Linked DNA regions of Rattus norvegicus. The protein of the gene in region 1 binds, or shares a complex with, the protein of each later gene. Links are inferred from orthologs where the notes say so. Each region holds a gene or a part of one and is shown in the gene's direction. Other genes may lie near its edges.

The links.
Region 2: the proteins of Dydc2 (region 1) and Nme5 are in contact, whole or in part, in a cryo-EM structure (PDB 8X2U), measured with the Mus musculus proteins. The link is inferred for Rattus norvegicus from reciprocal best matches to the Homo sapiens genes DYDC2 and NME5. Residues at the interface, in NP_001347537.1 of Mus musculus: Asp2, Tyr5, Leu6, Cys9, Phe10, Gly13, Leu14, Leu18, Val21, Ala22, Arg23, Val24, Arg25, Pro26, Asp28, Pro29, Ile30, Glu31, Leu33, Ala34, His35, Leu37, Tyr38, Tyr40, Arg41; in NP_542368.2 of Mus musculus: Arg140, Ala145, Val146, Ile147, Ile151, Pro152, Ala156, Ala157, Tyr160, Ile161, Tyr164, Val165, Thr168, Leu169, Leu173, Leu176, Cys177, Lys180, Pro181, Asp183, Pro184, Tyr185, Leu186, Leu188, Ala189, Asp190, Leu192, Met193, Asn196, Pro197.

What each region holds. Positions count from the first base shown.
Region 1 is NC_086034.1:16,966,668-16,982,638, reverse strand, and holds the start of Dydc2 (DPY30 domain-containing protein 2), read left to right. Parts: upstream 1-6,652; 5' UTR 6,653-6,717; exon of another isoform or gene 6,718-6,859; intron 6,860-7,360; exon of another isoform or gene 7,361-7,610; intron 7,611-7,717; exon of another isoform or gene 7,718-7,825; intron 7,826-9,391; 5' UTR 9,392-9,439; intron 9,440-9,605; exon of another isoform or gene 9,606-9,973; intron 9,974-12,380; 5' UTR 12,381-12,525; intron 12,526-14,906; 5' UTR 14,907-14,915; coding exon 14,916-15,062; intron 15,063-15,386; coding exon 15,387-15,509; intron 15,510-15,971. Other genes in the region: Dydc1 (DPY30 domain-containing protein 1), read right to left, coding at 792-893, 1,335-1,481.
Region 2 is NC_086036.1:26,447,478-26,463,527, reverse strand, and holds the start of Nme5 (NME/NM23 family member 5), read left to right. Parts: upstream 1-8,699; 5' UTR 8,700-9,101; coding exon 9,102-9,230; intron 9,231-14,599; coding exon 14,600-14,805; intron 14,806-14,989; exon of another isoform or gene 14,990-16,050. Other genes in the region: Brd8 (bromodomain-containing protein 8), read left to right, coding at 136-225, 2,077-2,145, 6,466-6,643, 7,323-7,373. UniProt on the Homo sapiens protein: Functions as part of axonemal radial spoke complexes that play an important part in the motility of sperm and cilia. Does not seem to have nucleoside diphosphate kinase (NDPK) activity.

The sequences.
Region 1 (15,971 bases):
GTAAGTTCACAAAAAGTTTCGTGCTTAGGAACAGTTTTTGGATTTTTTTTTTCAGGTTAGAGATGTTCAACATGTAAAGCTTGATCAGCCCACTCTTTCATCCCCTACCGTATTATTTAATGATAATAAAATATAATTATTATTAGTACCATATTATTTCATTATTCTTCATGTGTGTTCACGGTTGGTTCTTACTTTGTACAGACAATAGAGACGGTAGCATGAAGTCTGCTTTTAACTTGTCACCAGGTGACACACCCACCTAAAACGGAGGCCACCCATTCTCTGTCCCTGAACTACAATAAGAAGCACTCGTCCACTCGTTTACCAGACCCATTTTCTCTCATGCCTGTGGACAGAGCCTCTAGACTATTTTTTTCTACTTTCTAGTGTCACTCATTGTACTCTGTGTGTTCTTAAACCAAAATAAAGCCCACTGCTCGTCCCCTCACAAGCTCCATGAAAGGACTATGCTCACTCATTATCTCTCTCCTCACCTACCGCCCTCCCCCCTGCCCACTCTTCCTAGAGAGATTGCCTGGCCTTAGAATGAGCACCAGCTCAGCAGTGGGGCTGTTGGCTACTGTCCCTTGGCCTCACTGTTGCCTTGGCTTCCACCCCAACTCACTTTCTGGGTTGTCCTATTATCTCATGCTATAGACTTTTCCAGAAAGAGAAACGGAATACTAGAGAGCCATGTCTAAGTGGCCGGAGATCGTCAGTACCTCAGGATGTGGGTGCACTCACCAAGGGCGATGTTCACTTCAGCCACGCCCTCCCTCTTGTCTCACCTGCTGAAACAAGAGTTCCTCTGCTTTGAGTCGATCCATCATTTCCTGCTCCATCATAGCTAATTCTCTCTCGTGCTCCAACGCAATCAGTTCTTTCTGTCTCTAGCAATTGGTATGAAAGCAACAGCACACAGTTAGAGATCCAGAAGTGTGTAAATGCGACCTCAGAAGCGTCTCAATTACAAGCATTAGAAGGTCTGTTAAGCAAATGATGGTCTATTCACTTGGAAACTATGCAACGATTTTGGGGGAGTTTTAGGTTTTAGGTGAATGAAGAATGCAAAATTAAGATTATACCATAAATATAAATAAAAAGAAAGCAGAAAGAGAAAAAGTGTACAGATAAATATGTCAACATATTTGACATATTCAAATACAACAGAAAAAGACAACACAGAGAAGAAAATATTGAAAATCAAAACAAACTTTCAGTTTCCTCCCCTCTCCACTTTTATATATTGTAATAGAAAAACAGATTGAATACAGAAATATAGACAAGAAGAACCAATTGTCATGCTCTTCTAAAAGGAGCCCCATATTTACCAATTGCTCCATGCTCTCGTTTTCCTTGTACTTATAAATCCACAAGGCTAAATATTCAATGGGATCCAGTGGGCGAACTCTTGCAACTTCCGCAAGACCTTGAGTTAGGCAGGTCCCCAGGCACTGTTGAAGGTATCTTGACTCCATTTCTAACTCCTAAATAAAACCAGCCACAGAAGTTTTTCATTAGCGCCAAAAGTGTTCTGAGTAGGCACAGTTCAAAGGAAAGTGGAGGTTGGGAAGTCAGTGGGGGCACACATCTTTAATCCCAGCACTAGAGAGACAGAGGCATGTAGAGCCTGGTCTACAGGGAGAGTTCCAGGACAGCCGGGGTGACACAGAAAAAACCTTGTCTTGAAAAACCAAAACTAAGCAAATAAGCAAAGAGTGATCAAGGGAGGCCACCTGAACATTCTACTAGGCCACTAGTCGTGGTGCTTCTTATAAGGCATGGCATAAGCAAGTTGGCCTCAGGAAGCTTCAAACCATCTACAAGAGAACTCAGCAGTAGCCATAGTTATATTAGCTTCTACATCCCAAAGGCTCTCCAGCTTAGTCCCAAAACCAGGATGAGACATTAGCATTATTAATAGCACTGTGCTAAGTAATGCTGGTGCCAGTTTAAGCCTACCCCATCCGAGGCAACTGGCAGATAAGGTGCTAGACTCAGAGAGCTTGACTGAACAGCCGTGAGCTCTTGGCTGGCAGATTAATGGAGGGTTTGTGCTCACTTCTTGACTTCACGGTCATAACTCTAGTGGCTCTAAGGTGCTTCTCCTAAGCACTTCAATAAAACATCACAAACTGTCCATCTCCTCTGTAAAATCGTGTATTGTCGAAGCCAGAGGATATCAGTTCAAATCCCAATAAACAGCAAGGGTTACTCATAAACTTCTGTGTTAGTCAGGGTTTTCATTGCTGTGAAGCAACACCATGACCAAGGCAACTCTTACAAAGGGGAGCGTTTAATCGGGGTTGGCGTACACTTTCAGTGGTTCACTCTATTATAATCATGGCAGGAGCACGGCAGTGTCCGGGCAGGCATGGCTCGGAGGAAGCTGAGAGTTCTCCATCTTGATCTGAAGGCCTCCAGAAGATTGTCAGTTTCAGGTAGCTTAGGGGGAAGCTCTCCAAGCCCAGCCCCAACAGTGACACGCTTCCTCCAACAAGGCCACTCCCTGGGCCAAGGATATTCAGACAAGCATGTTCCACTCCCTTGCCCCCATAGGCTTGTTCAAATATGGCCTGCGGGGACCATACCTAGCCATAGAATAAAGCAAATACATTTCTTCCAACTTCAAAAATCCTCATACTCTGTCACAGTTTCCTCAAAGTTTAAAAGCCCAAGTTTGAAGTCTCTACTGAGGTTCATGAAATTTCTTAACTGTAATCTCCTATAAAAATCAAAATAAAATATCAGATCATATACACATGGCACAGTACCAAAGCAAACCCAAAAACCAGCTGAGCAAACTCCAAACTCCATGTCTCCAAGTCTGATATCCAACTCCTTTGATGACTACAATAACTTCTCTCCCCTGGGCTGGTTCCACTCCGTTGGTAGCTTTCCTTAGCTTTGACGTCTCTAACATCTTGGGGTGTCCGAGGCAACGTCAACTTCACAGCTTCTTGTTCCAATGACAGAGTCACACATGATCTTCTGGGCTCCTCCTAAGGGCTTGGGTCACTTCTCCAGCTCTGCCCTCTGTAGCACTCTAGGCTCTGGTTGACTCCACTCCACTGCTGCTGCTGTTCTTGGTGATCACCCCATGAGACGGGTGTCTCCAATTCACTGGAGTCTTCTGTTGCAACTAGGCTTCACCAGTAGCCTCTCATAGGCTCTCTTCATGGTGCCAAGCCTCAGTTTCTTTGCATGACCCCTTCAGTCCTGGGCTATCAACTGCAATTGAGGCTCAATCTTCACCAATGTCCTTCCCTCATCTCAGGGCCTTGCCTCAGCTGCTCTCCATGACCACTTTATTTCTTCCAAACCAGTACCACCTGTGTGGTTCTTACCCATTCCAAGTCCAGCTGCAGCACAAGGTGCAACCCGGAACACAGGTTCTGGAACACAGCTTCTTTGTGCTCTCAAAAAACACTTCCCAGATGTTACCTCACTGATATTGGTCTCTTCTTACTCACCACTAATTTCTTAACTGCAGCTAATCAGCATCAATTTTCCCAGTAGTCCTGTCTAGTTTTGACTCTACAGCCAGAGCTGTGTGGCTGAAGCTGGCGAGTCCTGCTGCTTGCCGAGGCTGGAACATTGCTCCCTCGTTCTATTACATTATTACCAGCCTTCTGTTTTCCAACTCCTTCACTGCTTAAGATTAGCTCTCCTGGAACTTGCTCTGCAAACTGAACTTCAACTTAGAGATGTACTTGTCTCAGTGTCCTGAGTTCTGGGATTATAGGTATGTACCATCACACCTGGACCTAAGCTTTCCTTTACTTAGAACTTGCTCCGTAGCAGACTGACCTTGAACTCAGGTATCTGTCTCTCTGTCCTCTCTTCTCTTCTCTTCTCTTTTCTCCTCTCCTCTCCTCTCCTCTCCTCTCCTCTCCTCTCCTCTCCTCTCTTCTCCTTTCTCCTTCTTCTCCTTTCTTCTTCTTCTTCTTCTTCTTCTTCTTCTTCTTCTTCTTCTTCTTCTTCTTCTTCTTCTTCTTCTTCTTCTTCTTCTTCTTCTTCTCTTCCTCTCTCTCTCTCTCTCCCCCCCCCCCCCGCCCGGGATTAAAGACATGTACCATAATGCCTGGACCTAAGTTTTTCATGGTCACTGTTCCTCAAGATCTGGATCAAAAGCATGTGTCATTCTACATCAAGATCCGAATCAAGCCTGTCTCTTCCAACCTTAAGACATGGATCACAGGTGTACTCTCCATTTCTGGACTGTAGTTCATTCTAGACTAAAAGTCAAAATGAAAACAATAACCAGGTAACAATACCTAACGTGATATATAACTATTCCTTGTCCAACTGCAAACACATAAACAATAAGCTTAGCTGGGTGGGATCTTGTCCTGAGGTCACCACTCCCTTAATCTATTTAATATACTTGAACGCAGGATTTCATTCCATTGCACTTCCTGGTGCCCATTTATTATTTGAACCATACATCTTGTAGTTTTTCTTTTTAGGCTTGCTATGCTTAATCAGAGCAATCTTCATGACAGTAATCCAGAGGACAAAGTCTATGCTGGGTGTTCCTGAGACTTTCTTTATCAGTGTGATTAATCTGAGTCCTTTCACCTGAGTCTCAGACAGACTCTTCAGACAAGGGAAAAGAGCAGCAACATTCTTCACCAAAGCATAAGAAAGATCTCCAGAGTTCAAATCACCAATATCTTCTATATTCCTACTAGGACGAACCATTAAGCCTCACTTGAAGCATTCCATGGCTTTCCAAATCCAAAGTCCCAAAAGCCACATTCCTCCAGCCAAAACCATGGTATCACAGCGATCCTCAGTCTCTGGTATCAGCTTCTGTGTTAGTCAGTGCCCGTGACCAAGGCCACTATTATAAGGACAACACTTAATTGGGGTTGGCTTGCATTTTCAGAGTTTCAGTTCATTATCCATAAAGCAGGACCATGGCAGTATCCAGGCAGGCATTGCAGGAGAGAAGCTGAGAATTCTACATCTTAATGTGAAGGCCTCCAGGAGAAGATTGGCATCCTCCTCAGGCAGCTAGGAAGAAGCTCTCAAAGCCCACTTTCAGAGTGACGCACTTCTTCCAACAAGGCCACACCTCCTAACAGTGCCACTCCCTGGACCAAGCATATTCAAACCACCACAGCTTCCCTTAAGACTCACCTCAAGCACGTCCCTGTCATCATATATCCTGGGCTCTTACCCCACTGAATATCCTGCCATATTCTAGCTATCACACTGTGCTTTCCCATCTCAATAATCCTTTCCTCTCTACTCTTGGAACATACCTCCTCCTTCGAGCCACAGATCATGTCTGGCTCTGGAGTTTTGTCAAGCAGTACAAGGGAGTTTCTCCTACTTCAAGTAGCTCATACAGCCCTTGTCATGCTGCCTACAAAGTGTATAAGAGAGTGTTAGTATGTGTGTGCATGCATGCGCATGTGTGTGCCCTGCTGTCTCTCCATGGTGGCAAGTAATCAAACGTGTGCCTACTCTCAGCTGTTCCCCAGTCTTTTCAGGTATGAAGGCAGATACGTGAGTATTTTTTAGGGTGACTATTTCTATTTATAGTTATATAGGATAACAGACCAAACAAATGATCCCACCCAAGCCCAGAATTGTGACCCAATGAGATTAAAAGACCAGAATATGTTCACCATTGCAGTTCTCGACTCCTGTCTCAAAGGTGCAGACTCAAGACTGGAGTGACATGTGAACGTGGTTATTCACACGTTATTATTATAGTCAGACTGAAAGTGCTGTCTGAATGTCCTGGCAGGGGATCAATTACATACAACACCATGGAATCCAGCCACAATATAAGGGGCTGGAAATGCTCTCTAAAATAGGCAGTGGTTTCCTAGTGAGGCACAATGCAGGAGGAAAAGGGAGATGTAGAAATTGCTCCTGCTTCCAAAGGAATATACACGTGTATGTATAGTGTAGCCCTAAGAACGACTGGAGCTGGCACAAATACGCTGATTTCCAACTAGATTGGCACTGGTGTCCTAATCACAGAGAGACAAACACGGCAACTGACTGGGCTGTGTCTTCACGGTGCTTCTTCTGTGGGAAATTCTCTATAGATAAGATCACCACATGGACGTATCAGTGTCATTTATATACAACATGGAATACACTCTTCCTGCTGCTCCAAAAACATAGGATCTGGGGCTCTGGCAGCTGCTTAGCGTTCTCCGTGGGGCTTTCATGAGGTCCCTCTGTCATCTCTGCAACATACATTTCCTGGTCAGGTTAGGAAACTACTAGCCATCTCTTCTGTCCTAAGAAGTGTTATTTCCCAGCAAACACCAGTGCTCATCCAGCTTCACAGAAGAAAGTCCGCTCCCACAGAAACATCTGGAGCAGCTGCTCTGAGACAATGGAGGAGGTTCTCTGCCAGGACCTGGGAAGAGTGCTGGATTCGGCACTCAAAACCACCGCAGACCTAATTTCTGAGAAACAATGAATAATTGTCTTATATATATTTGTGCTAGCAAGTAACCTGCTTATCTAAAAGTAAATTTCAATCAGGCAGCCACCAACCTAGACACTTAGATTAGTTTTCCTATTGGGTGGCTAGAGGGCGGGAGAAGGAGGGGGGGAGGAAGAAGAGAAAGAGGAGGAGCCGGAAGAGAGGAGGAAGGAGAAGGAGTCCTTGCGCTCCAAAGGCTCTTACAGGAGAACTAACCCTCCCTCGGATTCTGAGTTGAGACCTACTTGACTCTCAAGGTGAAAATTTTAGAACTGCTTCTGCAGAGACACTAGAGGGCCGGTTCGAAGGAAAACGCTCCAGCCTCCTTGGTGCACGCATCCGATGCACGTTCTGGCCACACGCCAGTGAGTCGCGTCCCGTTGCCTGGCAACGAGAGCACGCTCTAGTGTAGAGCTAAGGTTCCATTGCAGCCCAAGTAGTGGAGGCAAAGGGAAATGAAAGGAGAATTCGCACTCTAGGGGAGGGGGTGCACTCTCGATAGAGCCAGGAACGCGCACTGTAGGGGAGGGGGCACGCAGATGGGAGAACCAGATTTATGGGAAAGGAAACACTGTGGAGAAACAGCGGGAGGAACCCAGCAGACACGGGGACTCTTCTTAGATAGGAGCCTTGTGGAGCAGCAGATCTTTGAAGTCAGGAGAGACACTTTCAAGGCTGCAGGCTTGTTGGCTTGGTAATTTTAAGACCTTTCAGAGTGAACTCACGGGCTGGAGAGATGGCTCAGCCGTTAAAGGCTAGGCTCACAACCAAAATATCAGAGTGAACTCACACACAAGCAACTTCAGCTAGCCCAAAGACACCCTCCACCAGGCTCTAGCTTGCACTCTCCCCTGGTGTGCGTGGTTAGTTCTTGTCAATGTGACACAAACCTAGATATACCTGGGGGCAGGAAATCTCAAATGAAGAATTGTCTCCATCAGATTGACTCGTGGGCGTGTCTGGGAGGCATTTTCTTGGTTGCTAATTATGGGCATATGTCCACTATGGGGAGTGCTTGTCCCTGAGAAGGCAGGCTTGGGCTGTGTAGAAAAGGTAGCCGAATCAGCCAGAGAACGAAAGCCTTCCTTTCATGGTTACTGTTTCACGCTCACTCTCCCATTGCGTTGCTGGCTTGGCTTTCCTTGATGATAGACTGAGTGTAATCTGTAAACCAAATAAATTCTTCCCCCCTCCCCCCGGGTCATAGTGTTTACCAGAGCAACAAAAAGCAAACAATGGGCCTGGCATTGCTCGGTGGTAGAGGCTTGCATAAATGCAAGAAGGGACGCTGATGGATCAACAGAGTCTGAGCCCTTCCTTTGCCCACCCGCCCCCAACATCAGAGCACTCAGACATCTTTACTCGGTACTGAATGTGGGACAAGTGCCAGGGGTGGTATCCTCAGAGGGCTTGTCGCGTTTAAGCAGTGCAGCAGTCACTCAGTAATCCAGGCATGGAGAGACGCTCTGGCAGTGCATTGGTGATTCTGTGCTGGGATTCTACGAGAATAGCGAGAGGATCAGTGACTGGGGGTTGCACTGGGGATTTCGTCGAGCCACACATATATTCAATCTAAGATATCGGAAGTTGCACTTCACCAAACAACAACTCCTCGTCCGATCACATGAAGCAGCAGGGATGTGGAAAACTTAATCCACACAAACCCTTCTGTATGTTCCGTTTCCCTGTCTTCTGACTTCTAGAAGCTGTCTCTGGACATGATCTTGACTTTCATGCTCCTTCTTCCATGTGTTTTGTCACTCTGCCACCCTCCACGTCTGGCCTTACTGACACCTCTGGCAATTACAGCTGTGCCTATGTGGCGCTTTCCGTGAGAATGAGCCCGAGAGGCTCAGATATTTGAATGCTTGGTTGACAGTTGCTGCAACTCTTTTGAAAGGCTTCGGAGATGTCTTGTTGGAGGAGGTGTGTCACTGGGGGTGGACTTTGAGGTTTCAAAAGTCCACAGCAGGCTCGCTCTGTCTGCCCCTACCTCCAACGTGAAGACAAGCTTTTGAGAACTGTTCCAGCACCGTGCCTGCTTGTGCCCATGCTCCCAATCCCATGGCGGCTGTGATTCCCCCTCTAAAACTGCAAAGCTTCAAGTTAAGTGCTTTCTTTTGTAAACCGTCTTGATCGTGGTATCTCTTCACCACCAATAGAAAAGTAACTGAGAGGTCCCGCTTGTATAACACACACTCCTTATTTAAGATCCTTAATCACAATTCCAAAGCCCCCTTTATCATACAACATAACATCCACAGGTTCCGGGTTTGAGATTATGGGTTCCTGTGGAAGCAAAAATGTAGCACTGGAATAAGCCTTCAAGATGGCTCCTGTGTCTACATTGTCAGAGTCTTACTTCCTGGCATAATAAACTGTCTCTGGCTGCTTATATTTTTTTTTGCCCCAACCCTGGAGCCAAACTTTTCCTTAAGGATCTACGATCCCTTAATTCATGAACAATATTTAATCCCCCTTTGCAGCTGGGTATGGTGGTGCACACCTCGCATCCATCACTGGGAAGGGATCAGCAGGAAAAAGCATGTTCAACCATGGTGGGCTACCTAGGGAGTTGCTGGCAAGCCTAGCACAGTGAAACCCCGCCTCATGGAGAAAAACAAAGAAACAAAGAGTGCTGGCAGCATTCACTGCTCCTGGGGTATTTGCGATTCTAGACTCTGATATCAGTGAGGGGTAAAATGTATTTATATTTTCTATACCAATGTCTAGTTATTCAGTCGTGAGCTGAAAAACTGGGAATATGGAGGCTTGGTGCTAGGAACATATGTTGACAAAATCTTGTTCCGTAATAGCTCCTGTTTCTTAAATTCTTGCTGTATGCCAGGCTCAGTGCCTTTCACGTGATCAGTAGCTCCATTCGCTCCTTCCATATTGTGAGGTATGTATTTTACTTCTGTTTTCTAAAAGGTGCCAAGACTCTGAGACACCAAGCAACTTGCTGACGAGCACACCGCTGTAAGTGGCAACACCAAGACGTGGGCTGTCTGGTGCAGGTCTCTGTGCTGCTGTGGCTCTGCTCTGGTACTGCAACTTCTGTGTCAGACGACATTATCTGCCACTCTTGACACCTATTAGGAAATGCAGGATCATCCGCTCTCCCTAAAGCCGTGCTGTGGTATTGCATGTCAGATGAGGCTTGGCAGGCCCATCATTTGCAGGCCCATCATTTTCTTCCTCCTTCTCTCTCCCTGTAAAGTAAATGAGCCTCTGCTGTCTATGTCATAGAATAGCTTCCAACCTCACAATAGCACAGCTTGCTGTATACACAGAGTTTCTCTCCAGGGCCTTATTTTCTCTGTACTTAAGAGGGAATATTGTGTGGGTTGGTTAAAAGTCTTCAGCACCCTTGACTAATAATGAGCCAGGCCCTTTCAACACTGATGACCACTGGGACTCCTGGTCTGACGTATTCTAGCTGAAAAGCTGAAGAAGCGGGCTTGAACGTAACAGCGATCGGCAAGGGTGATTTGGTTGGTTATTCTAAGAAAGGTAATGTTACGGTTTGCATCTTTTAAGTGACCCCCAAAGTCTTGGTTGCCAGTCTGTAGTTTTAGCTCCAAATGAAATCACAGTTCCTCAAACTCCAGAAGGCAGTCCGAGTATCCAGAAATGGGTCCAGCTTGAACTATAGGAGAACTTGTGGTGCTTGTTAAGAGCCAGCATGCTGCAGGAACTTGTGAAGCCAAAGCCAATTCCTCTCTACCAAAAAAAGTATGTTCCCTTATCACTGGCAGAATGTGGTGCCTATTAGCATACCAAAGTGCATACTGGCCTCCAGGCTCCCTCAGTGTCACACGTAGTGTTTCAAGGTTCATGCTAGCATCCAAGGTCTTCTCACCTTCTCTCCTACCCTAAACTCCATCATGGGCTTCCCTTCCCCCAGCTACTCATTCTCCTTATAACCCTGCTAATCTTGGTATACGTTTCCTGCCCCACTGTGTCCTCCTCTCCCATGCCCTGCTCCTGCTTCTTTCCCGGCCAGGTCCAGTCCACTGGCCACGTTCAGTCTGCTTCTTTCTCTGTCTCTCCCCAGCCTCTCTGCTCCTAACATTTCCAGATGCCTCTGGCTGTTCTCTCTCTCCTATCTACAATAAGAGCCTTCCCTGACCCATACTATGGACAGTCATGCCATCGGTTTGTACGTGTAGTATTGCTGGAGGCTGATGGAGTCTTTAATGGGTAGGGTCTACTGGAGGAAGCTGTATCAGTAGAGCGTGCCCTGAAGGGAACTGCAGGATTCTGACCCTTTATTCTCTCTCTCCTTATTTTCCTGAGGTAGCAGCTTTGTCCTCATATGTTACTCCACACCCTGAGGTTTCTTCTGCTTTCCAAAGGCCCCAAATCAATGAAGCCAAGTAAATATGAAGGCTTGGGCAAAAGTAAACCTTGTCTCTTTAGTTGATTATCTTAGCCTTTCTGTAATAGCAACATTAAGTTTGCTGATACAGAAAATCGGCACCATGAAGTCAGGCTTATCGCTCTGATGACTTGCTAATGTGCTTCAGAAATCTTTGGAACTTGAAAATTTTGGAGAAGCAGGCCTACAGTGCTATAAGCAGAACTCGATGGGCAGTTGTAGCAAGGGCTCAGAAGACCAGAGTACTAATAAGGATATAAACTGAAGATATGACTGATTGATGGTGTGGGTAAGGGGAGGGTTTCATTGTAGATGGAGGGAGAGAGCAGCCAGAAGTATCTGCAGAGTCCAGAGCATAGAGAGAAAGAAGTAGGCTGAACAAGAAGAAGTAGTTGACTGGACCTGGCCATTAGAGAAGCAGGAGCAGAGAGATAAGAGGAGAGGGGTGGGTGGAGAGAGAGAGAGAGAGAGAGAGAGAGAGAGAGAGAGAGAGAGAGAGAGAGAACACGAACATGAGGAGAAGGCAGGAGAAAGAGAGCACATAGCTGAAAAAGCAGAGTTATAAGAAGAATGAGTACCTAAGACGGGGAGGGAGCTGTGAGCTGGGGGAGTTCAGGTAGGGGAGGAGGTGAGAAGAGGAGGCTGGACTTTGAAGTGTGTGACAGGTGCTTGTGACACTGAGGGAGGCTGGAGGCCAGCAAGTGCCTTGGTGAGTTAATAGAAGCCATGGGAATTTGGGGAAGTGGAGCTTTCTTTGGACCTGACACTAAGAATGTGAAGACAGTGTGGAGCCCACAGACAGGTTCCTGAGGTTCGGGTAGAGAGAAGCTCTTACTGAGAACTCGACTGGAGGCCCTTTGTGTTGTATTCTGGCAAACTGCTTGTCTGCATTTGTCCATGCCCGGCAATTTTACATGAGACGGAGTTTAGATGTAGGACTAACCTGGCAGGAGAAGTTTTCAGACAGTCCAGCATTCAGGCTAAGTACTGCAGGCTGTTTATTGCCAGGTTTACCATGAGATTGGGGAGTGAAAAGTAAAGAAGAAAGATTCGAAGAGCTTGCAGTTGAAGGAGTGTTGCATTAATTATTAACACTACTCAAATCGTCCTGCCAGTGGCTGTGGCGTGGGTTCCTTGCCACTAGCCAAAGTGCTCTGGATTCTCAAATGAAAGACACACATGCACGTACACAGTGCACGCACACACACAGCCTTTTATTTTAATACGCCTTAAACAGCTCAATGGCTGGACCCCTCTCAAACTTCTATGTAGCTAATGCCTCCCCTCCAATACTTCTAAACCATTACTTACTAAAAGCCTATATTTTATCTTTGCTATCCAGACCCAATCGGGGGAGAGGCCCCCGGGTCTCTGTTTTCCACAGCTCTCGAGCCTGCATCCAATTCCTTTCCTGGGCTGCTGATTCCCAAATCCTCCTCCTTCCTGTGATTCCCTTGCCCAGGAAATCTTAAGTCTCAAAGTCCTGCTTCTGCTTCCCTGCTCAGCCCTTGGTCACCGGCAACTTCATTTACCCATTAGAACCAGCTGGAGGAAGGGACCCTCAGAGTCTCACACACACCAGATGTGCAAATTCCTGTGAATTTGGAAACCCAGTTAACATAATATAAGCAAATCCCCAACAGAGGAGGAGAGGAGAGTCTCTACAGTCACAGCCAAGCAGGAGGTAATTGCCAGGGAAGTCACATCCTTAGTGGTGGGCACACCGTGACTCACAGCACTCGGGGGTTTGAGGAGGCTAAGGAAGGTGGATCTCTATGAACTTGAGGTCAGCCTTGTCTACAGAGATGCTGTCTCTGCTGTCCCCTACCCCCAGCCCCAAAGAAAAAGAAGTGGACAGATATCTCACATCGGCACAATTGAAAGGATCCTTTGAAGGCATCTCAAGAGTCAACGATGCTCTATACATCAAAGATTTCAAAACATGATTGACGAAGTCATGGAGTTGCATAGCTCTGGGAACACAGGAAGCCCAAGGAATTACTTTTTCATGACTCATTTCCCTGTATTTAAACATCCAGTCGTCTGCAGTTCTGATCCAAGTGGACCCCCCACACCCCCCATACTACTCGGTTCTGTAATTGTGGTTTTGCCCATGTCATGTTGGTCTTTCAGGCATACAGAATGGATGGGCTGTAGGGTCGTGAAGGCTTCCACTTAAAACTCAAAGGAGGCCCTGGAAGACCAGGTAGTGTGTGACAGGACAGAATCCCTGCAGGCAGCTCCAGAGAGGGCAATATCTGAGGCTGTGAGGGTGAAGTGGGGGAGGACCCAGAGATGCCAGAAATGTGGACAGGTGAGCTAGTCCCAGAGAGAGGCCACGTGGACTGCAGCCAGGCAGGCGTAGACAAGAGACTGCCCAGCCCTTAACTTCCATTATAATGCTACTACGCTAGTAGACATGGAGTTACAGGATTTCAGGTTTGCCTTTCTGGGCTTTGGTCTCGCTATGCTTAGATTCCAACATGGCACCCTTTCCTGCTTTACGCTTTAGTCGAAAGTTTTCTCTGTGCAGCTGTCTCTATCTCTTCTCCCTCTTTCTCCTCCTCCTCTTGTTCTCCTTGCAGTATTGAGAATGAAACTGGAGCATGGTGTATGCCAGCCAAGTGCGCTACCACTGAACTATGCCCCTGAGAATGTTGCACTTTGAAACAGGGTCTTACTAAGGTGCCAAGACACTTGAAGTTGGTCTGCCACCTAGGAAGACTTTGAGCCGTTGATCATCTTGCACTGGGCTCCTAAATGACTAGATGTCTTCACCATCAGGCTTGTGTTGCAGGAAAAATTAAAACACGCTGGAACTGGTTCCTGCGCATACCCAGGCAGTCACACTCTCTTGATTGTTCTGGCTCCAGTGGGCCATTGGAACTAGCACTAATTATCTCAGCAGCTCCATGCTGTCCCCATCTACTTTCTGACCTGCTGTCCTTGAGCCATTCCAACATGGCACCCTGTCAGACCGCCCCACCCTCACTCGCAGCTGTCTTGGCTGGTTTCCACCATGCCAGGCATACACATCCCAAGTCTGTGGCAGCCCAGTGCATCCGGCCACCATACACTCTCTTGAATTCCATTAAGTTGCCACATGAAAGAACACATCACACAATATCCTCTGAGGCAACTGATATTATATAATTTGCCCATCTAGACAACACAAAATCCATAACAACCTGTAATAAATGCAGAGAAGAATCTTAACATCTACTGCCATGTTCTCTCAGTTTCAGAGGCAGGCAGAAGCAGGCAGATCTCTGAGCTTGAGGCCATTCTCTTCTACCAAGTGAGTTCCAGGACAGCCAGGGCTAATACAAAGAAACCCTGTCTCAAAAACCAACAAAAACAAAACCAACCCCCCCCAAAAAAACAAAAAACAAAAACAAACAAACAAACAAAAAAAAATGAGGGAAATACTCCAGAGACTCTTGACAATATACTGAGTGTATCTTTCATTGTAAGGTAAGTGCCCATCTTGGGAACCAGTGGCACAATGTTGTGATTCAGATCTTAAAGATTCCCCCAAATGGTCACATGCTAAAAGCGTGTTTGTGGATGTGGCAATACTGGGAAAAAGCAGAGTCCTTAAGACAGAAAGCCTAAGACAGGGAGCCTAGTGGAAGGAAATTAGGTCATTGGGTCAAACCATTGAAGAGCTCTCTCTCTCTCTCTCTCGTTCTCTCTCTCTCTCTCTCTCTCTCTCTCTCTCTCTCTCTCTCTGTGTTGTAAGGGAGGGGTTGGGAGTGTATGTCCCTCCCTTTCTCTTTTCCTCCTTTCTTTCTTTCCATCCTTTTCCTAAAGTGGGCTGGTCTTACCTACCATATACCCTTTCTTACAAGCCAAAAGAGATGGGACCAAATGTCCATAGAGCCAAGCCTTTCCCTCTTTAGTTGATGAGATCAAGCATTTCGTTACATTAACGGAAAGCTAATACTAAGTGTGATCCAAAAATATTTCTTATTTTTCCTGGAACAAACCTAACTTGTGAGAATGGACCTACTTTAAAAGTTAGATTGTGTTTGTAATTAGAGTATCCGATTTGGTGTTTCCCAGGTCCCCAGCATGGAAACTGCTTACCTGAAGAAATGCTTTGGAAACACCCTGACCCAGGCACTGGCAGAGGTGGCAAGGGTGCAGCCAAATGACCCAATAGAGTACCTGGCTCACTGGCTTTACCATCACAGGAATATAACCAAAGCTGAAGAGAAGGTGTTGTGCACTGGGTCTGCTGAGGGAGGGTGCGGCTTGCTCAGAACAACTTGGAATCCAAGTCACAGTCCTGAGCTGGCCCGGGGGTGTTTGACTCATATGCCTTCTGAGGATTGAGATGTCCTAGCTGTATCTGAAATATGAGGACTGGGGGGGGGGGAGGAAATCTAGCTCAGTGGGTTGTGGGGTTGGGTTTGCAGTTACTGCTAGCTAATGCTTGCAATCGGAAGTTCAGTAGGCTTCATCAGCCCAGGCCTGCCTCAGATGAGGGAAAGCTCCCTTCTAAGGGATGTGACCTGATTGGTCTTTCTCGTATTCCTGCAGAAAAAGCAAGAGGAGCTACAACTTCAAGAAGTGCATGACAGCAACTCCAAGGAAGCAAAAGCTACAGCAACACTGAAAGAAGGAAGCTATCAGATTAAGCAGAAGTGTGAAAAGCGTCACCAGGTAGGAAGGAGGAGTGGAAAAGTCAGCTCGGCCTCTCTCAGCCAGGGGTCAGAAATTCCTCAAGGTGCCTAGCACAGGGTAAAGCATACTGAAGCTACCCGGGGCCTGCTTGTCCCTCAGAGCCACACACACTAGGCATAGTAAGTGACTCCCGTTGACATCTTGCCCACAGAATCCTTGAAAATAGAAAAAAAAATGAATGTGAAAAGGCAAATTTAAATTTTAGATTTTAGAAAATGTCATGAATACAGCTGGCTTTAAGAACTTCAGATTTAAAATACTTTTTCATTCGAGTTCCTTAGAGCCCCCTAAAAACATTCCAAAGTTTTCAGAAACTAGATATGATTGTCGATGGATATATTTGATACATTATAGTTATTCCATTTAGTATTTTATCTCTAGATTATGACTATCTGTGTGTCAAGCGTCAGGCATGCCCTCTATGACGTACGTAATGCAGAC
Region 2 (16,050 bases), on another chromosome or scaffold:
TTCATACCTATGATAATCTAGTCCTTCAAATGTTTAATTAGGAGCACTATGGCTTGAGAAAGCCTCATTACCCAGCGAGTGCGACACAGCACCACTTATGAAGCGACTGTCTCTTTTCTGTCATGTATTCTGTAGGAGTGACCTAAGCCAAGGTGATCCTACTCAGGATCATTTCTTATTTAAGAAGACTCTTCTGCAAGTCTGGAAGATGATTGCCAGTCACAGGTAGGTTTCCAAAGGGAGACTATCTCCGGAACCAAAACCACGCTTGGATCCGAGCACAGCAGTGGATCTGTCCGTCCCTCACACGAGCCACGTGGGGTGTGGGTTGCAGTTTAGCTGGTGATGCCCCACCTGCCCTGGGTTTCATCTGAGCATAGCCAACACTGGCTGGGGCCACACAAGCTACCACCCCAGCCTTAGAGAGGGGAGTAGACCATCAGGAGCTGAAGGGCATCCTAGTTAGAGACAGACCTGGACTGCAGGAGACTCTGTCTCAAAACAAAACAGAGTCCCCCAAACTAAAAACCAAGCCATGGTTGAGACCTACAGGTGTTTCATTAGTTTATAAGAAGTCATTGCTGTGCTATTTGAATTGCCTCTAGAAATTTATTCCTAATACGTATTTTGTGTTATATATATGACATATCATATATATATATGTATGTATATATTCCCATATGGTAGGTTTTCTTTCCGACAATGGGCATGGCTCAGTTGGTAAAATGCTTGCCTATCATCATGAAGCCCCAGATTTAACCCTCAGTGTTGCATACACCTGTATACAGGTATAAACCTATAGTCCCAGCACTTAAGGAGTCAAGGTAAGAGAATCAGAAATACATGCTCATCCTTTGCGATATAGCAAGTTTGAGGCTAGCCTGAGCTACATGAGACCCTGCCTCAAAACAAACAAATGACTAGAGAGAGAGAAAGCTCAGCCGGTAAGAGCAATAACTGCTCTTGCAAATGACATGGATTCAGTTCCCAGCACCCATAGTGCCCAGCACTCAAGTTCCATGGCATCAGACAACCTCTTATGGCTACTGTGGGCACTACATACATGTACACATATCTATTTGGACTCAAAACATTCATACACATAACATGAAATAAATATTTATTTTTTCTTTTTTTCGGAGCTGGGGACTGAACCCAGGGCCTTGCGCTTGCTAGGCAAGTGCTCTACCGCTGAGCTAAATCCTCAACCCCAAAATAAATATTTTTAAAAGGGAAACTAAAAATCAGGATCTTGGAAAACTTGAACCAATTTTTGAGCCCTTAATTTTTTTTTATTTTTTTTTCGGAGCTGGGGACCGAACCCAGGGCCTTGCGCTTACTAGGCAAGCGCTCTACCAACCCCTTGAGCCCTTAATTTAAAAAGATTTCTATGAGCCAGGCATGGCATAGGTGGTACACTTGAATCCCAGCGCTCAGGAGGCAGAGGCAGGGGGAGCTCTGTGAGGGCAGCCTGCCAGCCTGGTCTACAAAGCAAGTTCCAGGACAGCCAGGGCTACAATAAAAAACCTGTCTCAAAAGAATTAAGAAGGGGTTGGGGATTTAGCTCAGTGGTAGAGCGCTTGCCTAGCAAGTGCAAGGCCCTGGGTTCGGTCCCCAGCTCTGAAAAAAAAAAAAAAAAAGAAGAAGTAAGAGAGAGAAGAGGAGAGAAGACTATAATAATAGTAAAATATTGGGGCTGGGGATTTAGCTCAGTGGTAGAGCGCTTACCTAGGAAGCACAAGGCCCTGGGTTCGGTCCCCAGCTCCGAAAAAAAGAACCAAAAAAAAAAAAAAAATAATAGTAAAATATTTTGCAGGTTGGACCCCCTGCCCCTGTTTGGGACGTCAACAAGAAGACAAACGTCATCATTGCTGCTTGTTTGGTTTGGCTCTGTAGTCTGGCTCACCTAGAACTAGAAGTCATATGCTGTTGCGAGGCAGGCCTCCAGTTCTTGGTGATCCTCCTCTCTCAGCTGCCTTAGTGCTGCAGGGCCACCATGCCTAGCTCTGTTAGCCCATCTCTTTACGACTGACTCAGCAGCAGCTTCTCCACCCACGCGGCTTTGTTTCTTAACAGGTTTAGCAGCCCATTTCTGAAACCTGTATCAGAAAAGCAGGCCCCAGGATACAAGGATGTGGTGAAAAGGTCAGTAGGAAGGGGCCAAGGCAAAGGTTGGTCGACTTTTTATTATTTATTTATTTTGTTTGTTTGTTTGTTTAGAGCCCGGGGTAGCCTTAAACTGACCAGATAGCTGAGGATGGCCTTGATTGCCCTTCTGACCCTCCTGACTCCAGTTCCTGAGTTCTGGGATCATAGGCTTATAACCAGGCGCTGAAGGTTAGACCCAGGGCTTAGTGCGTCCTCGGTAAGCACTGTCAGCTGTGCTACAACCCCAGGCTGGCTCAGCTCTTTGTTGTTTTTGTCTTGTGGGTTGCCTCATAGTTAAAGTTGACCTTGAATTCCTAATCCTTCTGCTTCTAAGTCTGAAGGGAGTGAAGTGAGTACAGGCTTTTATCTGTCTTTTCAGTCTTTATTTTCTATTGGGCTACTTACTACTTATAAAGATATATAAGTATACTATCTCCAGACACACCAGAAGAGGGCATCAGATCCCACTACAGATGGTTGTGGTTGCTGGGATTTGAACTCAGGACCTCTGGAAGAGCAGCCAGTGCTCTTAACCACTGAGCCATCTCTCCAGCCCTGGGCTACTTATCTTATTTATGGTACTCACAAACTCAAGATATATTCTACAGCCAGTGAAGCTCTGACTTAAAAATTTTTAACATGGGGTTGGGGATTTAGCTCAGTGGTAGAGCGCTTGCCTAGAAAGCTCAAGGCCCTGGGTTCGGTCCCCAGCTCCGAAAAAAAGAAAAAAAAATTTTTAACATGCTTTCTGCTCTCTGCCCCAACATTATCTACATTGGTTTTAAACTTGTGGGTTCCATTTCCTCCCATTCTGCTTCTCTGCTGACTGAGATTATAGGTTTTTGAGACAGTGTACCCCAGGGTGGGCTCAAACTTAGCTGACAATGATCTCGAACTCCCCCCCGCCCCTGAGCCTCCTGCCTCTACCTCTTGAGTACAAGATTTACAGGTGTTGTTAATGTTTGTTTTAAAATGTGTTTGCCATTTGTCTAACTGGAGATGTATCTGCCTCAGTCTACACAGTGCTACAATTACATATGTGTGCACCAATCCCCAGGTCCTTCCACATGTGATAATATTTTCTTTTTTTTTAAATATTTTATTTATTTATTATACATGAGTACACTGTAGCTGCCTTCAGACACACCAGAAGAGGGCATCAGATCTCATTACAGATGGTTGTGAGCCACCATGTGGTTGCTGGGATTTGAACTCAGGACCTCGGGAAGAACAGTCAGTGCTCTTAACCACTGAGCCATCTCTCCAGCCCCTTGATAATATTTTCTTAAAGGAAATTTTAAGGGAGTCCCTGTGTTCATTCAGGAAGATACTTTTAGACATATTAAGATAAAGATGTTAGAAATTAAAAACATTGGCTAAGTGAAGAGTTTTGGATGTTAGCATAGTACATCTAAAACATTGCCATAATGGAGTCTGCCTCTGTCAGTGAGTGTTGACCTTGCTGTCATGAGGACCTGAGTGGATCCCCAGCACCGTGTAAAAAGCTAGGCCCAGTGGCAGTGGCACCTACCTACAGTTGCATTGCTGGGGCTTGAAGACAGGAAGATCCCAGCCAGTCTGGATAGAACAGTGGCTCTAGGGTCAGCCACAGAACAACTGAGGAAGACGCTAATGTCAACCTCTGGCTTTCCTGTGGGCAGGTTCTCTCTCTCTCTCTTTCTCTCTCTCTCTCTCTCTCTCTCTCTCTCTCTCTCTCACACACACACACACACACACACACACAGGTACACACTCATATATACACACACACTCATACACAGTCACATGCACACACACATTCACACACACACTCACAAATACACAGATACATACACACACACACACACACATTTGAGCTATAATAAAATGCCACTAAGTGAATAATTTACGAACAACAGAAATTTATTTCCCATGGATTTGCAACCTGAAAAGTCTAAGATAAAAGTGCCTACAGGCTTGGTGATGAGACAGCTAGTCTCTTCCTCCCAGGAAAGCCACACTGTAAAACCCTGTCCCAGACGAGAGACCTGAGTTTTAGATATTTCAGATTTAGATTTCTGAACCTTGAGAGTGTTATCACTGTAGGAACTATGGGGATTTTTGAAGTTGGACTGAATGTATTCAGATTGACAGTTACCCTGTGAACTTATGGAGAAAGGGAATGAATGGTGTTACTTTAAGTGCCCTCCACAGAATCAGAATATTTGAGTACTTGGTATGTAGCTAGTCTATCATGTCATGGAAGGTGTAGGAGTAGAACAGGAGAGAACAGGCTGCCTGGTCCACAGGAAGCAGGGAGAGAGAGAGAAAGAGAGAGAGAGAGAGAGAGAGAGAGAGAGAGAGAGAGAGAGAGAGAGAGAAGCATGAAGTCTGTGCTCCCCCGACATTTCTCTTGCAGCAGGGCTCTACCTTTTAAAGGTTCCACAACTTTCTTAAGTGGCTCAGTCAGCTGGGGACCAATTGTTCAAACACATGGATGGTAGGGGATATTTTACACTCAGACCACAGCAAGGACACCTCTGATTCTGGTGACAAATGCCAATTTGAGTTCTGCAAAGGACACAGAGGTCTCCAGCTAGTCTTGCCATCTGGAGTCTCGGCTCTGTACATCTGTGTGTTCCTTGTGACGGGGTGGGTTTGCTGCTGCTGTTTTCCACAGTAAGCGTCCTCTGTCTTCTGAGGCATCTGTTGGGAATATTTCTTTTGAGCAGCTTTGTCTTCAACTCTGAAATGTCTTTTTCTATTAAGATTTTATAGCATGAGGTGGGAGGGGATGGAGCGGGAAAAAATAGGAGTTTCTAGCACATCAGGAACCGTCTTTTCTTCTCCTTGGTGCTCCCATGGTTATAGCCAGAAAGGAGCAGCACTTCATCTCTTCAGGCCTCACAGTGGTACCCATTCTTACTCTGGAAGCTAAGGCAGGAATATCACCAAGTGTAGGCCAGCATAAACAATGACAAGACAGATGGCCCTGCAGCTTCCAAGGGCTGGGCAGAAAGTGATGCCACCATGCCCAGCAAACCCCCATCTCAAAAAAAAGCAGTCACAGAGTGCCTTGGGTCAGCAAGCCTGAGAGGCTAACTCCCTGAGACAATGCAGTAGAAGAGCAAGTTCAAGGCCAGCCTGGCAGCTTCATAAGACCTTGTCTGTACAAATATAAAAGGAGGGCTGGGACAAAGGTTCATTGAGAAGCTACTTGCCTAGGATGTGTAAGGTACTAGGGCAGTGGTTCTCAACCTTCCTGATACAGTGACCTTTATCACAATCTCTCAGGTTGTTGTGACCCCCTGCCCAAAATTATTTTGTTGCTACATCATGACTGTACTTTTGCTACTGTTTGGAATTGTAATAATGTAAGTTATCTAACGTACAGGACATCTGATATGCGATCCCCAAAGGGGTTGTGACATATAGGTTGAGAACTGCTATCCTAGGTTCAATATCCACTGCTTCTAAAATGTAATGATGATGGTAAGTGATGCCTACATTGTGTGTTCATTGAGTGATTTACTGTGGAATGTGCTCGGTGTAGTGCTTGACCTTTATAAAGGATCAGGTGTGGTCTGCTATTTTATTATTGTGTGAAAAGTATTATCTTTGCTAGTTTCTAGTTTGATTTCCATTGCTGTGGTAAACAACATGACCAAAGTCAACTTGGGAAAAAAGGTTTTTCTCTTTCTTTCTTTTTTTTTTCTTTCTGGGAAAAAAAGGTTTTATTACTGCTTATAGGCCATCATCCAGGGAAGTCAGGACAGGAACTCAGAGCAGGAACCGGAGGCAGGAACAGAAGCAGAGGCCATGGAGGGTGCTGCTCACCAGCTTGCTTGTGGCTTGCTCAGCCTGCTTTCTTACAGAACTCAGGACCACCTGCCCAGGAGTAGCACTACCCACCGTGGGCTGGACTCTCCCAGATGCACCATTAATCCAAAACCAAAACCGAACAAACCAAACCAAACCAGAGAAAACAGCTCCTACATGCCTGGAGGACAGTCTAAAGAGACATTTTCTTAATTGGGGTTTCCTCTTCCCAGATGACCTCAGTTTGTATCAAGTTGAGAGAGGAAAACAGAAGCAAAACAAAGCCCTGTAGTCGCTAAGGTTCACTAAGACCCAGTTCTCAAGAGCTTGCTATAGGCACTACGGTTTTTGCCTGTTTGTCCTGTCTGTTCTGCAACAGGGTCTCTCACTCACACTGACTTAGAATCACTGTGTACCTCCCTCTGTCCTCAAACTCATGGTAATCTTCCTGCCCTGCCTCCAGAATACTAGTTCATTAGACCTTACATATTCAGGTTTAGTTTCCTCTCCCTTCCTCAGACCCATGGACTTAACAACGCTGAAGAGGAATCTGTCTAAGGGACGAATTCACACTATGGCTGAGTTCCAGAGGGATCTGATGCTAATGTTCCAAAATGCCGTGATGTACAATGACTCTGATCATCACATATACCACATGGCGGTGGAGATGCAGCGGGAAGTCTTGGAGCAGATCCAGGTACTGTACAACACAGAGTGCCACAAGGCAGGGAGCCATGGATTCTGGAGTGGGATTCAGAAGCCTGTGTGAATAAAGATGTAATGGAAGTGACCTCGTGTTCTTAGAGTTTCTTTTCAGAGATGATGGCAGAGCCTGTGGTAAACGTGGGTGTTCTCTTGTGACTGGGAAGCTCCTTGTCCTCATGGGCCCAGATTTAACACACAGTGGGATAAGGATGTCTGGGAAGGCCAGCAGCAAAAATGGCAGGAGATGAGCAAGTGATGGATACTTCTGTTCTCAGAGGCCCGAGTTGTAAGACTGAAAGCCAGTCAGGTGTTGGACCACTGTCCATGTCTCTTTTGTTGTGACTGTTGACATTATTATTTTTTTTTTTTTTGGTTCTTTTTTTTTTCGGAGCTGGGGACCGAACCCAGGGCCTTGCACTTCCTAGGTAAGCGCTCTACCACTGAGCTAAATCCCCAGCCCCGACTGTTGACATTAATGTACATGTATCCGACCCATATTTGGAGGAGAAGTCATAGTGAGTTCAAGGAGACATGTAAGGGTTTCTCTTTTGGGAAGCATCAAACTTTAAAAGGTGTAGTTTTATCTGTTTGACAATAAAAATAAATAAAATTTCATACACTTGCTCTGTGGCTTTAAGGTTCATGGCTTCCTGTCTGCATTCCTCCTGTAGGTTCTGAGTACTTGGCTGGATAAAAGGAAGGACCTGAGTAGCCTGGAATGAGTGCAGCTAATCCAGTGGACCAAGGAAGCCTGTTTTGTTAGCTTCGAACTACAAGTCTGATTCTTTCTCAAGTTACAGCTCTCCTTAGGACTGGCCAGAGAAGAAGTGGAAACTTCTCTTCTCCACTACTTTTCAAATAAGGATAGTAATGCCTCACCTCCTACCTCAAAAGTCAACGGTGCTTGCAATGTAGTATTTTTTAAAGGGGTGGGGTAGGGTACCGAGATCTGGATTTATGATGTAAATATTGCCCACATTTTTGTTGCATAGACTTAAAAGTAATTTGATTGAACCTTTTGTTTCTCTATAAATAAATAGTTTGCAAACTAAAGATTTTGTTTGGTTTTTGGGGCACAGCATCAAAACCCAGGCTTTCCTGGAAACCCCCATTGCATCCAGCCTCTGCCTCTCATGGAGTGCTGGGATTAGAGGAACTCAACCCCAGACTACCTGACCTTGCAAAGGGGGCTTCTAAATGATTAAATAAGCTGGATGATGGGAGCAGCATCATATGGTGAAGCACAGGAGGTATTTGCTGGGAATATAGCTCAGTGGTCAATTGTTTGCCCAGGTTTGATCCCAAGCACCACCACCCACACCCCAAAACAGAAAGAAAGAAAAAAAGAAAAAGAAAAGGAATGAGGGAAAGAGAGAGTAAATAATAAATTTCTCATTAGTCTTTCATATAATGACCAGGAGGAACTGGAGTGGACCGAGAGAGGTGTCTGATTTATCTCATTTACAGATAAGGAATGCATCCTTCAAGCATGTACCATGAAGAAAAGAGATCAATTAGAGAAGAGCTGGTGCTAAGGCTCAAAGGGTAAAGAAGACCACTTGAGTTCCGTCCCTGGAAACCACAGAAACGCAGGAAGGACTTGACTCCACAAAGTTTTCTTACCTCCATATCACACACACACACACACACACACAGAGAGAGAGAGAGAGAGAGAGAGAGAGAGAGAGAGAGAGAGAGAGAGAGAGAGAGAGAGAGAGAGAGAGAGAGAGAGAGAGAGAAATGTGTGTAGTACTCTAAGACTCAAAGAGAATAAAATGTACACGGCTAATTATTGCCTTAGGTTAAAATTAACTAGAGTCTTAAAAAAAAAAAAAAGGGGGGGTTGGGGATTTAGCTCAGTGGTAGAGCGCTTGCCTAGGAAGCGCAAGGCCCTGGGTTCGATCCCCAGCTCCGAAAAAAAGAAAAAGGAAAAAGAAAAAACAAAAAAACAAAAAAAAAAACAAAAACAAAAAAAACGCGGCTGGGATTGGGCCTCTGCAGCCACCGTTAGGAAACCAGCTTCGGTCTCTTAGCAACGAACGGGCTCTGACAACACCTGAACTGAGGCCAGTGCTGGGAGGGTCTCAGGTGGAGATTTCCCGAGAACTTTGGGACCCTGCCTTCCTGTCATGCCTAAGCCTGTACAAAGTGGTCCCTACAAGGTGGGGACCCTTCGCTAGGGCAGCCGGCTAGGGCCTTCCCGTACTCCTGGAGAGCAACACTGATGCCATCCAGCCTCCAGCCTCAGTCGAGCGGCTAGGGCTCCCCTTTCTCTGTATAAGTCGTATTCTTGCAAAAGCATACGTAGAAAAGCATAGTGCTTTCCATTTTTATAAATTAATCAAATCTAGTACCAGATTTTGCCACAGGCTGATTTTGGGACGGGGACTCGTGTCGTTGCTGCGGATAGCTGGTCAGGAGATTTGTAAATTGTACCGGAAAACGCCAGAATGGAGGTATCAATGCCCCTGCCTCAGATATATGTAGAAAAAACCCTAGCCCTTATCAAGCCAGATATTGTTGATAAAGAAGAAGAGATACGCGATATTATCTTGAGATCCGGATTCACTATTATACAGGTAACTTCTGGCGTCTCTTTTATTAGTTTTCACTATACTTATATAAATGTAGCCACCCGTTTAGATCCTTAGTAACATTAAATTTACATTTATAAATATAAAGGTTATATATAAACTGCGCATGTAAGCACACATGCCTGTAATCTCGGAATCAGATAATGGAGGCAGGTCAGCCCTGTACTGACTTCCAAGTTCAGCCTGGGCTCTGTGAGACCTGTCTCAAAAACACGTTACAAATAACAGACAAGTTTTCACACTTGTAAGGATATAGAATAAGACATAAAAGAAGCATGCTGCCTTTTTCTTTTCCTCTGCAGGTCAGCTCTAGGGAGAGGCAATGACTTAACTACATTCTTTCTCCTGGGTGTTTCTAACATTCTGGATCATTAAACCAGAATCTACTTATCCCTTCTGAATTATGTGCAGTATTCCTGTGTATACTTTGGTTCCTAGTGTCAGTAGGTTTTTTTGTTTTGTTTTGTTTTTTCTTTTTGTTTTTGTTTTCAAGAAATGGCTTCTCTGTATAGCCCTGGCTGGCTTGGAACTCACTTGTAGACCAGACTGGCCTGGAACTCAAAGAGATCCAAATGCCTCTTCCTCCCAAGTGTTGGGATTAAATGTGTGCACCACCACACACAGCAAACATTTAGTGTTTTAAGGTCAACATTTGTTCTGTAGTTGGTAAACAGGGTCAAAGAAGCCAAGCACCACAGAGGACATCGAGAGCTCAACTTGGACTTCACAGTGAGTCCCAGACCAGCCTGGGGTACGGGGATGCAGGCCTTGGAAGTAGTGACATAGACCTGTGATCCCAACCCTAGACAGGGTAAGACTGGAGGATCTTGAGTTCCCAGCTATCTTGGGCTTCACAGAGTTCTTAACTGTCCTCTAGTAGACAAGATCTCTAACTAAAAGACAAGTGTACAAATAGATGAGGTGGAACTTAGTGCTTGTAATATTTTCTTTGACTTTCACTTGAACTACAATTCTAAGAGAATAAAACATTATTTTTATTCTTTTAAATGCATATGTAGCTGAGTGCTGTGCTTTTCATCCCAGCACTGAAGAAGCAGAGATGTGTGTTTCTGTTGGGTTCAAGGCAAGTTCCTAGCCAGCCAAGGTTACATAGTGAAACTTGTAACACTGACTTAAAATTCTTATATAGTATCATATTATCTATTTTTTGCTGAGCAAGCACAAGGACATGAGTTTAAATTCCCAGCATCCATGTAAAAGCCAGGTGTGATGGCAGCACCCGGATATAATCTCCGTCTGGGGCGGCAGGGCAGGAGGACCAAGTAGTCTTGCCAACTTGGCCAGCTTGAGGTAGTGGGAGACGCAAAGTGGTGAGCAAGTGCGGCTGGCACCCAATGTGGACTCTGGCTCCACACATGTGGCATCTGCACCCCCACATGTGTGCATATACACACGGACACAGACGTGTGCATGTGTCACCCACAGAGATGACATAGTGGGGAGATTTTGACAGAGTTGAGATGGCACAGAAAATACTCAGGTGAACACAAAGTCTTTAATAAATGTTATGAAATTTGAGTCCTTTTTTTTCTGAGGTAGCTATAAATGGATCTAAATATTTAAAAATTAAACTTCTAGGTGGGGCCAGGGTGTAGCCCAGTGCTGGAGTACAGGCTTAGCAAGCATAAGGCTGTGAGTTCAATCCCTACCACCCCTCTCCACCAAAAATAGTAAATTGTGTTTGTAGCTTCTTCTAGAAGAAAAAAATAGATAAACAAACACTTGAGGAAAAAAGATTCTTAAAAATCTAGGTTCTCATCCCAGAGAGATGGCAGAGGCAGGCAGATCTCTGCTCTACATAGTAAGTTCTAGGACAGCCAAGGCTACACAGAGAAACCCTGTCTGAACAAACAAGCAAATAACTCAAGTTCTCAGGTGGATGTGCAGCTCAGCTGGTGGACCATGTGCCTGGCAAGTATAAACCGTATCTTCCAGCAGTGCAGACCCTGAAGTCCCAGTGCTCAGAAGACTAAAGGAGGAGGACCGGACATTTAATGAGGTTATCCCCAGCTACATAGTGAGTTGGAGGCTAACCTTGGCTACATGAGACTCTGTTTAAAAATCCAAAGTGGGGGTTGGGGATTTAGCTCAGTGGTAGAGCACTTGCCTAGCAAGCGCAAGGCCCTGGGTTCGGTCCCCAGCTCCGAAAAAAAGAAAAGAAAAAAAAATCCAAAGTGAACAAAGGAAGTCTCTTGATACATAGTCCAGGATGTCCTCCAGCACAGGTGACCTCCTGCCTCTCCTTCATGAGAACTCAGATTAAGGTGTTCTCCTGTGTTTTGTTTTCTAAGATGACTTCATTAAGTAGCTCCTGTGGCTTCAGTTATTCTGCTGCAGGCTCATGAGTGCTGGGATAACACACAATGTACCACTCACTATGCCTAGCTTGATTTAAGTGTTACAGGTTTATTTTTAGAAAGGTGAGGGAACTCTGACTTCTGTACCCTGCACACTGAAGATGTTTAAAGTTATTTATTTATCCCATTTATTTTTGATTTTTCAAGACGGGGTTTTTCTGGGTAGCCCTGGCTGTTCTGGAACCCACTCTGTAGACCAGGCTGGCCTCAAACTCAAAGTACTGGGATTAAAGGTGTGTGTCACCACTGCCTGGCTAAGTCCTTTAAAAAAATCTCTCTGTCTCTCTCTCTGTCTCCCTCTCTTTGTCTCTCTCTCTCTCTCTCTCTCTCTCTCTCTCTCTCTCTCTCTCTCTCTGTGTGTGGTGTGGTTGTATGTGAGGATGTGTTTGCTTGTGGTGGTAGGTAGAGTAAATGGATATGTGGATATGTGTGTGTTGTGTGGTGTGGTTATATGTTTGGGGAGGTGTGGGGGTGTTTATGTATGTGGTGGTGGTATATAGGTATATGTGTGTGTGGTTATGTGTGTGTAGTGTGGTTATATGTGTGTATTTGTATGTGTGTGTGTATTGTGTGTGTGTTTATGTATGTGTGTTTATGTGTGTATACAAGTTACCTCAGGCGCCAGGCCTTACCTTTTTTGTTGTTTGGAACAGGCTCTCTTGTTTGCTACTGCAAAATCAAGGCTAATGGGTCATAGGCCTCTAAGGTGCCTCCCATCTCCAACTACCCTCTCTAGAGGTATACAGGGGTTACAAAGTCACTCTACAATGTTGGCCATTAGGGAAATTCTGGGGATCCAAACCCAGGCCCTGACACTTGAGCTACCAATGCTCCTCTGCTCACTGAGCCATCTTCTAATTCTTTAAATCCATATTAAAAAACGATCACTGATAAATAGACTTTGTAATTAAGTGGCTTGTGTTTATTATAAATTAAAACTCAAGAGTTTGGCACAGTAGCACACACCTTTAATCCAAGCACTCAGGAGGCAAAGGGAGGTGAATCCCTGTGAGTTCTGGGCCATCCCAAGACTACACAGAGAGACCCAGTCTCAAAACAAGAACATAACAAGCAATTAGCAGATACATAGCAGCGAATGCTAGGCTGGCTGGCTGTGGTCTGTGCTGCTGCTGCTGCTGCGACACAGCGATGTCTTTGTTTTGCTTTAATTTTTTTCCATAAAATTCATACTACATCAGTTGTACCATTTAAATAATTTTTAAGGTACAATGCAGCAGCATTAAATAAACCCACATTGTTTTGTGGCCTTCAACAGTATTCATCGGTATTTTCTCATCTCAAGCTGGAGCCGTGAACTTTTTTTTAAGATTTTTTCTCTTTATTTCATGTGCATTGGTGTTTTGCCTGCATGTATGTCTGTGTAAGGTGTCAGATCCCCTGGGACTAGGGTTACAGACAGTTGTGAGCTGCCATTTGAGTGCTTGGAATTGAACCCCTGTCCTCTGGAGAGCAGTGGATGCTCTTAACCACTGAACCACCTCTCGGCCCGTGACCTTACTTTTAGAGAGGGAGGAAGATGTATTGTGTGTCCACCTCCTCCAGCCCCCAGTAACCACTGTCTTAGTTTTTAAGTCAAGAAATGTGACTCTCCCGGCTATTTTAGGTCGTTGGAATTGAGGATGTTTTTAAGGTTTGTTTGGCTTTATTGTGGTAGATTCTTGGACAGCTCTGAAAACTTCTCCCTCTGTCCAGCAGAGGGCAGTAGCTTCTTTGTCGAAAACTATGTGTTCTGTTACATGTATTTGATATCGATGTTTCTCAAACTGAATTTCAAACGATTCAAACCTGATCGCATTTTAAAGCATTTAAAGTAGAATCGTTACTTTTTTCTACAACTTTAAAGCTGAACTCTAAATATTTAACATCATACTGCGGGAGCTAGCACGCCTGAGGAAAGGGCGCGTGGCTGCTGGGCACGCAAGGAGCCCCTTTTAGGGAGAGGAAGGCAGGATTACACTGGCAGTCAGCCTGGGCTACATGATAACACCCTGTCTCCAGACAAACAGACAAACAAACAAGCAGCTCGTGTACCGGACACAGGGAGGTGGGGTGGACTCAAGCAAGGAGTCATGTGAGAGCTTGACTTCTTGGCAACTGGCTGTAGAGTTTATCAGAATAGTCCTTTATGTGATCTGGGGAATCTTTAGACCCTTTAATACCATGTCTGGAGGTAAACTAGCGAATATTGTTCCGGAGACAGGGTCTCTGCCCTAGCCAGCCTGGAACTCACTATGTAGACCAAGGTTGCCTTGATTGCAGGGCGAGTGTGTGAGCGTGTGTGTGTGTGTGAGCGTGTGTGTGTGTGTGTGTGTGTGTGTGTGTGTATACATACATGTGTGCAAGAGTGCCGGGAGAGGGCATCAAATTCCCTGTAGCTAGAGTTACAGGTGTCTGGTGGACATCCTACTTGTCACGTAGGTGCCAAGATTCAAACTCTGGTCCTCAGGATTGCTCAGGAAACACTCTTCAAAAAGATCTTTTTAGCCAGGTGCTGGTGGCACACACCTTTAATTCCAGCACTCAGGAGACAGAGGCTGGCCGATCTCTGTGAGTTCTAGGTCAGCCTGGTCTACAGAGTGAGTTCCAGGATAGCCAGGGCTACACAGAGTAATCCAAAAAAAAAAACAAAAACAAACAAACAAAAAAAAAAACCCCAAAAAAACATTTTTATATTTACTTGTGTGTGTGTGTGTGTGTGGTGGTGGTCTAAAAAATTGAGGGAATCCATTCTTTCTTCCTCCCCTCCTGTTAATTCTGGGGAATGAACTCAGAACCTCAGCCTTGGCCGCAGCCCAGGAATCATTTATTTAAGTGGGATAAATACTTCCTCTGAACACATTTAATCACCATTTACTTTCTGTGTAATAACACAAAGATAATTGCAGGCATGTGCCACCATGCCTGGCAAGGTACTAATGTCTTAATGAGCTTTTGTCGACTTTGTTTTGTTTACAGAGGCGGAAACTACACCTGAGCCCTGAGCATTGTAGTAACTTTTATGTGGAACAGTATGGGAAAATGTTCTTCCCAAACTTAACAGCTTATATGAGTTCTGGACCTCTTGTTGCTATGATATTAGCTAGACATAATGCCATCTCTTACTGGAAAGAACTTTTGGGACCAGCTAATAGTTTATTAGCCAAGGAGACACACCCGGACAGGTAATTCCCATTGAAAGTGGGTTGAGGGATTGAAGCCTGCCTTAAGGAGAGAAAACAAAAGAAACAAAAAAGCCAGAGCCTGCCATCTTCACACTCAGGCCTCCCAGCCTGTGGAAGTTTCCTACGTGAACTTCTCTCTGGTGCAGGGCAGTGGATTTGACATCCTCAACATTGCAAATCTATCTTTTTTTTTCTTAAAGATTTATTTATTTATTTATTTATTTATTTAATGTATACGAGTACACTGTAGCTGTCTTCAGACACACCAGACCTCATTACAGATGGTTGTGAGCTACCATGTGGTTGCTGGGAATTGAACTCAGGACCTCTGGAAGAGCAGTCGGAACTCTTAACCGCTGAGCCATTTCTCCAGCCCTGCAAATCTATCTTAATATCCAGTGCTGTAGAGGGCGGCAGAGAACAACTCACTGACTGCTGGTCAGCCTGGCATTAAACTGCCTCTAAAGAACGAGTTCCTGATTAATTGATTTTGGTTTGTTTGTTTGTTTGTGACAGGGCTTCTCTGTGTTGTCCTGGAGCTTGGTCTTTAGACCAGGCTGGCCCCAAACTCACAAAGATTCCCCCTGCCTCCACCTCCGAGTACTGAGGTATACACTGCCACCACCCTGCTTTTGTTTATTTGTTTTAATGTTTTTTGAGACTAGTTCTTGCTCTGTAGCCTAAGCTGGCCTATAAGTCACTGTGTAGCCCAGGCTAGCTTTGAGTTTGTGACCATCCTCCTACTTCAGCCACCCCCACCAACCCCCAGTCCCCGAAATCGGTGCTGGGTTATATATAGCACATAGCTATGAAGTCAGATTTGTAAAATTACATTTTATTTATTTATTGCTTGTGGGCATGTGTGTCTTGCACACGTGGAGGTCAGCTACAACTCGTGGGATTTTCTTCTTTTCCACCCTATTAGTTCAAGGACAGAATTCAGATCATTAGGCTTGGTGGCAAGTGCTTTTAGCAGCTGAGCAACTCACTGATCCTGAAATAGGATCTTTAATAAGAAAGTAAGACTTTTTAAATTTTGTTTTCCAGAGATGGTGGTACATACATTTAACCTCGGGACTTCAGAGACAGAGGCAGGCAAATTTCTGAGAGTTTTGGGCCAGCCAAGGCTATTGCAACATGAGCACTAGTTTCCAGAAATGAAAGTTATTGCAGTTTTGAATTTATATTTCTTTTCATGTCTCATAAAATACTTTCTTCCCCTAAAGACTGCTTGTTTCCACAGTG